Coturnix japonica: one gene and its partner. The protein of the gene in region 2 interacts with the protein of the main gene of each other region in a biochemical or structural test. Links are inferred from orthologs where the notes say so. Each region holds a gene or a part of one and is shown on either strand. Other genes may lie near its edges.

Region 1 (5,265 bases), on a different chromosome or scaffold from region 2:
ATGACTCTGCTAATTTCTCCTACAGGTGGAGGGAAGAGGCTGCGATTGCATTGTCTTGTGGTTGGATTGTGATAAGGAGGGAGAAAACATCTGTTTTGAAGTAAGATTTCTAATACCATATTTCATTCTCTCTTGTTTAAAGAAGCACATTTTAGCAAGTGTTTAAGTTCTTTAAATACCACCACTTCATAACTGTGCCCTGGCAACCTAGGTAGAAACTGATACATATTCATCAGATATTCACAGTGTTACTGTGTAGCAGTGTTACACATCAGCAGATGTTTTGTGGGGAGGGTTTGGTTTGTTTTTTTTCCCTCCAGAGGAAAGAACTGACTTAAGCCCTCAGCTTTCAGTTACTTACAAAATCCTCTTCTGATCCTCCTTAGGTTCTTGATGCTGTTCTTCCTGTTATGAACAAACTTCCTAGCACCGAAAGGACGATTTATAGAGCTAAATTCAGTTCTATTACTGACACAGACATCTGCAATGCCATGAATCATTTGGGAGAACCCAATCGCAATGAAGCCCTTTCAGTGGATGCCCGCCAGGAGCTGGATCTCAGAATTGGCTGCGCGTTTACAAGGTAACAGCACAGATTGCAGATGGTTTTATGAAAGGTTCAGGAATACTGCCCTGTCCATAGAATGTGCCTTAGAGCTGCAGTGGTTAATTCTACTGAGTTACCAAAGCAAACAATTTTATACTGTGAAGTTTTTGGTTTTTTTAAATATACATGAGTGACTTGGCAGATTATTCATACGTATCTGGGAAAGTTCCTGAAAGTTGCTGCTTTGCATGGGAATGAGGATATTCATCTACTTGATGCTTTATTTGATCTTTTCCTTAAGGTTTCAGACTAAGTATTTTCAGGGGAAATACGGAAACTTAGACAGCTCCCTCATCTCCTTTGGGCCATGTCAAACACCAACACTTGGTTTCTGTGTTGAAAGGCACGACAAAATCCAGTCATTCAAGCCTGAGACTTACTGGGTGCTGCAGGCTAAAGTAAGTTATGTGTTATTTGTTTGATTAAAACATGTTTTCCTTCTTATATAGTAAGAAACGGACTTAACACTTTCATTTTGTCCATTCATGAATTTGTAGCTGCTGACAAGAATTCACAGTGCCTACAGTTTACTCGTCTATTTTCATTCAGTTCACATGTGTGTCACCACTCTCTTAATAGATTTGAGGATGTCGGTTCTGTGTTCAAGCGGTTATTGTGTGCTGCTTGTAAAAATTCTTTAGTGGTAACCATCTAAGCTTAGACTGAGCCAGAAAGACTACTTAAAATGGCCTGTTATTGTTCCCTGGGGTCCTTGGACCAACTGTGGTGTTAATTTGAATCCAAGAATTAATTTGTCTGCCAGTGAGCATTGGCATTGCTGAGTATTGGAATTCTGAAGCAAATAAAATGTTCACTGTGTTGGCACTGAGTCTTCTGAATGCTTTGGCAGTTTATGGCAGTTTTATAGCCTTGCTGCTGTTCCAACTTGGAGCGCTAACCAACATGGTTTTACTGTTTGTGATGACAAGGATTGTGTAAATAAATAGGAGATAGATGGTAAAAAGTTGCTATTTTTAGATTTTAAAATTTAAAAAGAAAAAAAAGTTGAAATCCAGTGTCTACTCTTATCTGTTTTCTGCTATATCTCCTTTATATGTGTCATGCTAGGAAGCATTTGGTTCCTGTTTTCAGGGTGTTTCATGCACACACATTGATTAGTTCATATTTACTTTTGTAGGAGGGACTTGGATTGTGGCCCACGTACATTTTATTTTTAATGCAAAGAATTAATGAATTTTGCTAAGTGAAAATGTTAAACTTTGAATTTCGGCCCATTTTGCCTTTGTTATTCCAAGTATTTAAAATAAGCACAGTATTTCAGTTAACTGCAAGAATAATTTCAGTCATTCTCCTTGCCCCAGAACTCAAATTACTCTTTCTCAGAAGCCACTGGAAAATGAGTACAGCTGCATGCTTGGAGCACTTGTAAAACAACTACTACTAAGGTTTACTTGCTGGATTATTGCTGAAGTGCATTCTGCACTTTTAGTAATAGTGCTGGTGGGAATTAATTTGTTGTTGTTTGTTTTTGATCCATCAGGTGAACCCTGAAAAGGAAAGTTCTCTCACTTTGAGTTGGGACAGAGTGCGGGTATTTGATCGTGAGATCGCTCAGATGTTCCTAAATATAACAAAGGCTGCAAAAGAAGCAAAGGTAGAACTATTTACTTAGGTGTTGGTAGAGCTTATTTCACATAAAGGAAATACTACTCAATAGTTCATCTACTGTATATTGGTTTTTTTGAGCCTTCTTTTGGCGAAGAAGGTTAAGAAATATAATCCTTATCTTTTTTTATTTCATTCAACTTTGTGTAAATGATAAGTAAAAGGCAAAAGATTCTTGCTTGTAGTTTGTGTTACATTAGTATGGTCATCTCAACAGAAGCCCATTCTTAATATTGACTTTGGAAATGGTCATCATTCACGATAGGAATTAACAGTCTTCATTGCTGAACTTGCTGAGAAGCACAGTTCAGAACTCCCCAAGCAGACCTCTTGTTTCCCACAGGACACTGCATAGATCGAAATCTATTTACTTATAGAACAACATTCCTGCAGTTAAGTTTTTAACTTTGTACGGTACAGTCCTTATAGCCAACTAACCTGCTGTTCTGTTCAATGCTTGTCTGACACTGTGTTGGGATTTAAGTGTTTACAGCTACCAACGTTCAGAGGCTACACGGTGTTTTAAAAAGTTGAGATCCTTATATCTAGGACCGTTACTTGGGTTGAGCACTACTCCCTTGTAGCACTGATGTATGTGCTGCAGAGCTAAATGGGAAGTGAAGGTAGCAGTAAGCTACATCCCTTCATGTCCAGTGGTAGGTCTGATCTAGTCCATAATGTGAAGGGACCCTGGGGCTATTCCTTCAGCATTTGGTAAAGCTGTTTCCCATCAGATTTCCACCAGATCTGACGGTTACTTTTCTACGGAAAAATATCAAAACACAGATGTGACGAAAGCAGGTCCTGGTAGGAATACCACATGGTTTTAGTCATAATAGACATTTTACATTTATCAGTTACCAAACTTCAAAACTTTTACTGGAAAAATGCTATTTTCTAGGTAGAATCTGTGAGTAAAAAAGAGAAGGTGAAGCAGAGACCACTGGCTCTGAACACGGTAGAAATGCTACGAGTGGCCAGTGCTGCTTTAGGTACGTGTAAAAGTTTAGATTTTCACACTGATTTAGAGCAAAATACTTTGGATTCTCAGCTGAAATAATCAAGCCCATATGTAATATTTTAATAAGTCTCCCTACAGTGTATCACTTTTGGGAAGCAAGTTTAGAAAGCATGTCAAAAGTACTGGGTCAGATCAAGGTGGCAAAAGTCTTATAGAAAGGACAAGTTGTAATTTGTAATTAGCTTAAATGTTTTGACAAGGTGTGCTTTAAGACTCAGCAACCAAAGGCATCTACAGATTGCTGTATGATTTTGTTCTCTCCTGTGCCATCCCAGGAATGGGTCCGCAACACGCCATGCAAATAGCAGAGCGTCTTTATACACAGGGTTATATTAGCTACCCTCGAACAGAAACTACCCATTATCCAGAAAACTTTGACTTGAAAGGATGCTTGAGACAACAAGCTAATAATCCTTACTGGGCAGAAACGGTGAGTAAATCAAAACCTGTACTGTTCTACAGGTGGTTCTCTAGTCTGTGTTTTTAGAACATCTTACCTGGTATGTCTTGATCTGTAGGTCTCTGCAAACAACAAGTATCTGTAATTGCTTTTACTTACAGATATTGTAGTTATGGATTTGATCTTAAAAAAAAAAACAACTTCTAACCTGATAGTAGAGACCTGCTATCCACTTCAACCCGTTTTCTCTCTTTTCCTTGACCCAGGTAAAAGCATTGCTATCAGAAGGCATCAATCGTCCAAGGAAAGGCCACGATGCAGGTGACCATCCACCCATCACTCCAATGAAAGCTGCAACAGAAGCAGAATTAGGTACAGACAAACTGAATAGTGTTAGAACACTGTGAGGAAATTGGTTCTCTGATAAAGAAGCATGTTAAGACTTTGAGTAGCCATACAGCTTACTGAATGGCTATGTAAAACTTCTTTGTACACAATAGGATGAAATATGCAAAGCACAAGACTGATACTTAGGAGCTAAGTTTCTGTTTATAGTATTATAACCTCTCTGCTATTTGATTTCCTAGCTATATGTTGTGATTAAGGAAACTGTGTGTAGCTCTTGTCTGTTCTGTGCTAGTTTGTCAGGCAGCCCGATTGATAGCATATTTAAAAAGAAAAAGTTGAAGTTAATGTAGCACAGGATTCTAACAAGTATGATTTTATGGGTAGGAAATTTTGAAGGGGAAGCTGGATGGACTTTTCAATCCTATTTTCTCTTAGGTACCAGTTTTCCCTGTGGTTTCTGTGGAAATCTGATATCTTTTAGCGCAAATTTTATGTAGTGCTGCAGGACTTGATTTGTGGGAGTAAGATATTGTTTATCCTCAGGTGGAGATGGATGGCGGCTGTATGAGTACATCACTAGGCATTTCATTGCCACTGTGAGCGCTGATTGCAAGTACCTACAAACCAACATTTCTGTCAGCATTGGCCCTGAACGTTTTAACTGCGTTGGGAAAGTGGTAACTTCACCAGGTAAAACTAACCAGGGAGTAAGTAGTTAGGCACCGTTTATTATTTTACCCACTCATGCATTAAATAGATATAAAAGTGAAGTTTTGGAGGCAAGTAGAATTTAAGACTTCTTTTTTCCTGGAGCTTATTAAGATGACAAGGACTGAATCTTGGTCTTCGCTTCCTTATTTACGTTATGCTGGAAAAGGATGTACTTCCCATGTAGTGGTCTCAAAGCTTTAATGCCACACTGACCGGTGGAAAGACCAGTCTTTTTTCAGACTGCAGATCCTGTTGTGGTTTATGTTGCACAAAGGCTGATGGTTTTTTCTTATATTTTTCCCTTGAGCCTCAGGAAAAGGACTATAGTACCCTCAGTGAAATGTTCACAGCGGGCTGTCCCAGTCATCTGCTACATTAATACAACTTAGTATTTGCACTTTCTTTTTAAGAGACTCTTCCCATCCACTTGGTAAGACTTCTGGCACTGTGCTTTTGTTTGAGGAAAGCCCTGTTCGGTTGTTTTTTCAGTTTTGTTTTGTTTTTTTCTCCATATATCAGCAGGACTCGATTTATCCACAGAAGTTTTTATGC
Region 2 (5,265 bases):
CACCCCACAGTGCAATAGAAAATCTTCTCCTTCTCATTAGGTCCATGATAATTTTGTTCCACTTAGTATCAGTGAGAGTTCTGAGTCTTTTGATGGTTACACTTGAATAGTCCCTGCTATGGCTTATTGATCACTATCTTCATAATTCTGGACTTTTTTGCTATTCCCATCAGATTTTGTTTGTCTGTTGTGTTCATTCTATCAATTTTGTTTCTTGCCTTTATGTTAATGCTTAACAGCTGTTAGCAGTTTATTTTTACTGAATTAAAATTTTCAGATGACAGCTATTTCTTTTTTCTCCTCATTTTCCTGCCTCTTTGTTTCTTCACATCAGAATTCGTCTTTCTTAAACAATTGTTACTCATTTACTAATGACTAATTTAAGTACCGCCAAGACATATGTGTGTTTTCTATTAATCGGTAATTGCAGTTCAAATATCTGCTAAACTTCAACGGACAATTCCATCTATTTATCTCACGTGTAAATGCTACTTGTTTTTCTGAATAATATTGTCACTTTTATCATTTAGTATCTGATCCACTATTTCTGTACTATATATATTTATATATATAATCATTATTCTTTTCTCTTCATAGAACCAAAATTGCAATTTCAACCACCATATCAAGTACAGCCCAAAGTTATGAATACAGAACAGAATGGCATCAAAGAGAATCATTCAAGGCATATTTCTCGCAATGACATGAGACAACCAAGGAATGAGAAGCCCCCTCGTTTTCAAAGAGATATTCAGAATTCAAGGCAGGCTTTGGAAAGTGGGGGATTACCAAGAAACAGAGGTCCTGAAAGGCACAACTCTTCAGAACATTGGACAGATGAGAAAATCAAAAGTGACAGACATTATCCTAGAAATGATAGGCCAAAGGATTTGGGTTATCCCGTAGCTGCTCACCAGAGTGATATTTCCTTTAAAAAAAGGGATAACAATATGCAAAACAGAATAGGAAAAGGGGTGTCTTTCACAGAATTCAAGGAGAACTCTGCTGCTCAAGATACTACAGACAACAATAACCAGAGACGTGGGAAAAGGGAAAATCAAATACACAATTCTGAAAACTTTTGTGATAGGAAAGCACGAACAATAAGTAATGAAACCTTTATGGTAAAAAGTGAGCAACATTTTGGTGTGAATAATGATTACCAAAACACTTGCAGAACTGATAATTTTAATTCTATTCCGAATGGAGATACAGAACATCATCAGAAAGGAAGACGAGTAGGGCCTATCAAATCGCCAGGACCTAATGTGATTCCGTCTTATGATGACAAAATTTTGTATTACAACACTGGACCCAAAAGGAGATCTGGGCCCATCAAACCAGAGAAAATAATGGAACCATCGATTCATGCAGAGTACGGAAAAACCTGGAGACCTGGGGATGAGTGTTTTGCTCTTTATTGGGAAGACAACAAGGTATGTGTTTGCCAGACGTTGAGTAGTTCAAATTAGCTTTCTTATATACTTGATGTAGACTTAGCACACCAGCACAAAGACAAAGGTCTTTGTTCATAGGTGTATACTGTGCTTTGTGGCCTGCTTCTTGTTCTAATGTTTTTTTGTTTTTTCTTTGCATGTTTGTTGTTGTTTGTTTTAAAAGGAGATATGTAGATTGTATTAATTTCTTGAAAGTATGTGACCCAGATCATCTTGACAGTGTCTGTTTCCCTCATATGGGATAGCTAGGCTCCTAACTGAGACATATTTCATGTAGGTGTTTAAAATTTGAAGGAATTAAATGGGTCTGGTTGCCTTTGTTACTTTCTAAAGAATAAGACTGGGATGCTCTGTTATCCCGAGTAGTTTGTAACTACAGATATGTAATGACTTCCACTAGAATAAGACATCATGCAGCCTTCACTAGTACAGGAGAAGACTGGAGTGTCTGCAGGGATGGGACTGTTTAAAACAAATTCCACTCTTATTTCAGTCATTACAAAAAGACTGGATTTTATTATCAATAGTAGTCTCCTAGCTGAAGGAGCTGTGGAACAAATGGAGTGTGATGCATGACAGTTCTGTTTTACTGATTTTTCAAAGCTTAAATTGTTCCTCTTCCAATTAATAAGATTTCTTTTATGACAAGAGATGTAGATACTGTTAGCTCAGCAGTGTCACTTTTTTATTTGACTGAAATAAGTCATGCAAAATTTTTGATGGCAGTAGCATATAGTTAGTTGGTGCTTTAATATGAATATATATCTCGGAAGGATTTGTTTGAAATATAATAGCATATTAAGGAATTATTTCCTGTCTTCAGAAGCGCTTTATGTCACTATGAGATGTGTTGTTGAAATTCTGAAAAGCATGAAACTTGCAAAATAAGCAGATACGACACTGCTGCCTGAGAAGTATCCAGTGTGTTTTGATGATGGTTGTTTTTTTAGCAGTTACAACAAATGCTGCTGCTTGCATCTAGCATAATTTTAAAATAGAATGATAAAATACAGCAATGAGTTTTAATCTTGCTGTATGATAATGACTTCTATGTGTTCAGAAAGAAAAATAGATTCAAAAGCAGTTGATTTCTTTGCATAAATTACTAAAAGAAAGTGATGAAAAAAGGAAGAATTTTAGAAGGATCTTATTTTAGTACGTGCTTAAATAGTTATGTGTTATTATATACTTAAAATAGTTGTATGTGTGCAAGTGCCTGCCAGGCACTTAAACAGTAATAATAATTAAAAAGAAAGTCTTGCATTAGTATTTCTTATATACAACATCATTGGTGTTGATGATTAATTTGTCTTTGAAAAAAGATCTTTTAAATGTTCAACCTAATGTCCTAAGTAGTATATATTTTCAGTGAGTATTTTAAATACATGCAGCCACAATCTTTCAGTCATGGGACATGTAAAAGTTTAATAGATAATTATCTGCAACAAATTTTACTGAAAATTTACTGACCAAGACCAAGAATGGGGAGGAGAGTGAAAATGAAGAGGTTGTTTTCAAGCTGTTTGTGGCACATCAGGTAGTATTTTATGACCTTTGAAAATTTCTCTTTTAAGTTCTACCGGGCAGAAGTTGAAGCTCTCCATTCTTCTGGAATGACTGCAGTTGTTAAATTCTGTGACTATGGAAATTATGAAGAGGTGCTTCTCAGCAACATCAGGCCTATTCATGCAGACACCTGGGTATGTGATAACAAATTGAATACAAACATATAAATTACATAGTCTGTAACAAAATACATAACTTGGCAAATGAATGCCTACTCCTGCAAAGAGTGATAATTGCACGTGTAGAAAAATAGTTAAGAAGTGAATACACAAGCAAAATCTTTTAGTTATCTATATGAATCTACTTAATGTTCCTAAGTATATTATCATGTAGTGTTCTTTATATATAAGAAATTTAAATTGTATTGCTGTAAAATGAATACTTTAATTGACCTGTCAGCTAAATGGTTTTATGCATACATTATTTATAAAAGTTTCATTTACTGTATTAAACATAGATTATTATTGTTTTATTTTGTATACGTTGTATTTTTTTCTGTAAAGGTTAGTAAACAGTCTTTATATATCCTGAGGACTTATACTGTGTGTGAATGTATGGCTAAACAAATACATCTGTGTGAATCATTTTATTTTGCATCATGATTTTATTTTCTAAAGCTAATTCTTTGGTGAATATTAAGGGAGAGGTTTATGCCTGGAAGTCTGCTTTACAACATTTAGAATGTATTAGCCTTATAGTAACTGTATATTAATTTCAAGGGGCTTTATTTTTGAATGTCATGGAAGTAGAAGTACAAAAAGTACAAGAAGTTCAAAAACATAAACAAAAGAAATAGGATTGCAGTCCCTTGCTGTTTACTCATGATAGAAAGATGCACAAAAAAGTATATGAATCTGTGCTTTGATTCCTTAATGACAAGCTGAAAGTGCTTCTTTTCATTTCTTACCTCTTGGCCATTTAGTCGTGTCAGTACTGCTGCAGAGGCTGTTAATAGTCAACTTCTGTTTTCTGCCAGTGGTCATTTAATTTATGTTGTTGCTTGTAAGTCTCAGATGTTCTTATGGCCTCTGAGATGGCCTTTTTGTACTTAGAAAGGTCTCTGAAGCACTTCTGAGCTGAAGCATTGCAGTCTAAGGAAATTAACTTTTTTTTTTTTTTTTTTTTCTTTTTATCCCACTTGTTGAGGTGCAGTGATAAACCGCTTTTTACTGTATGATTGTGCTTATTTTGATCTTATTTCTAGGTTGTTAAACCTAGAAATGGTTTTATGATTCTTGGTTACTGATATTCCACATCATAACATCAGGTAGTGCACTGGGAGTCAAGCATTTCAGTTTCTGCCCATTGCCTCTTGAACTGGAACTAGGCATCACTGAAAAGAGCCTGGCTCTGTCCTTATTGCACCCTACCTTCAAGAGCCTGTGTATATATATGCTGATTAGCTTTCCCCCAAGACTCTTGTTACTGAGGCTGAACAGGCCCAGCAGTCTCAGCTTCTCCTTGCAGGAGAGGTGCTCTTGTCCCATCATCATCTTCATGGTCCTGAGCTGCTGGAGTCTCTCTTGTACTGAGGAGCCCAGAACTGTTTGCAGTGATCCAGGTGTGGCCTTGCCAGTGCTAAATAAAGGGGAAAGATAACTTTCTTGCTGCTGGTAATACCTTGCTTAATGCAGCACAGGTCACTGCTAGACTTTTTTCATCATTTCTGATGATAATCTCAAGTATTGACATTTATTTTACTTTAACTCTCTGAAAATTCTCTCTCTTGCTTTGAGAACTTGAGCTGGTGTAATTTTCTCTTCCTGAAACTTGTGTTTCTGCTTATAGATAAAAAGGCAAGATGAATTATATATAATATTTTTAATAATTTATTTGTTTAAATTATTATTTATATAAAAATATTTTATATGTATGTAAGTAAAAGTGAAAGTATGTATAATTCCAGTTCTTCTGCAGCCTGTTATGTTGTGTGGTGGCGTTGCAACTCACCTGTTTTGGACCCTCCAACAGGGAAAGCATTGAGGAAACAAAAGAGCAGGGGGTCTTGATCTGTAGCTCATTTATTTTGGCAGACATTTTATCTTACTTTTTATGGTGATACCTTAAATTTCATAATGTTGTTTATTATAGCTCACAGAGCTATAAGAGTTTCTAAAGGTATTGAATTCTCTTAAATCAAACTGTAATTTAGGACCTTCTCATAACCATCCCTCATTTCGGGTAAGTGAAGATGTAAAGCTTTATGAGCTTATGAAGGTGTTGGAAGCCTTCATCTAGCCAT

Evidence for each region.
Region 1: the proteins of TDRD3 (region 2) and TOP3B form a complex in vitro, tested with the Homo sapiens proteins (2 studies listed by BioGRID and IntAct, with this or other methods). The link is inferred for Coturnix japonica from reciprocal best matches to the Homo sapiens genes TDRD3 and TOP3B.

Annotation. Positions count from the first base shown.
Region 1 is NC_029530.1:347,831-353,095, forward strand, and holds part of TOP3B (DNA topoisomerase 3-beta-1), read left to right. Parts: intron 1-25; coding exon 26-100; intron 101-386; coding exon 387-583; intron 584-848; coding exon 849-1,005; intron 1,006-2,108; coding exon 2,109-2,222; intron 2,223-3,134; coding exon 3,135-3,225; intron 3,226-3,529; coding exon 3,530-3,684; intron 3,685-3,920; coding exon 3,921-4,026; intron 4,027-4,545; coding exon 4,546-4,692; intron 4,693-5,265. UniProt on the Homo sapiens protein: Releases the supercoiling and torsional tension of DNA introduced during the DNA replication and transcription by transiently cleaving and rejoining one strand of the DNA duplex.
Region 2 is NC_029516.1:145,150,848-145,156,112, reverse strand, and holds part of TDRD3 (tudor domain-containing protein 3), read left to right. Parts: intron 1-597; coding exon 598-1,436; intron 1,437-3,031; coding exon 3,032-3,157; intron 3,158-5,265. UniProt on the Homo sapiens protein: Scaffolding protein that specifically recognizes and binds dimethylarginine-containing proteins. Plays a role in the regulation of translation of target mRNAs by binding Arg/Gly-rich motifs (GAR) in dimethylarginine-containing proteins.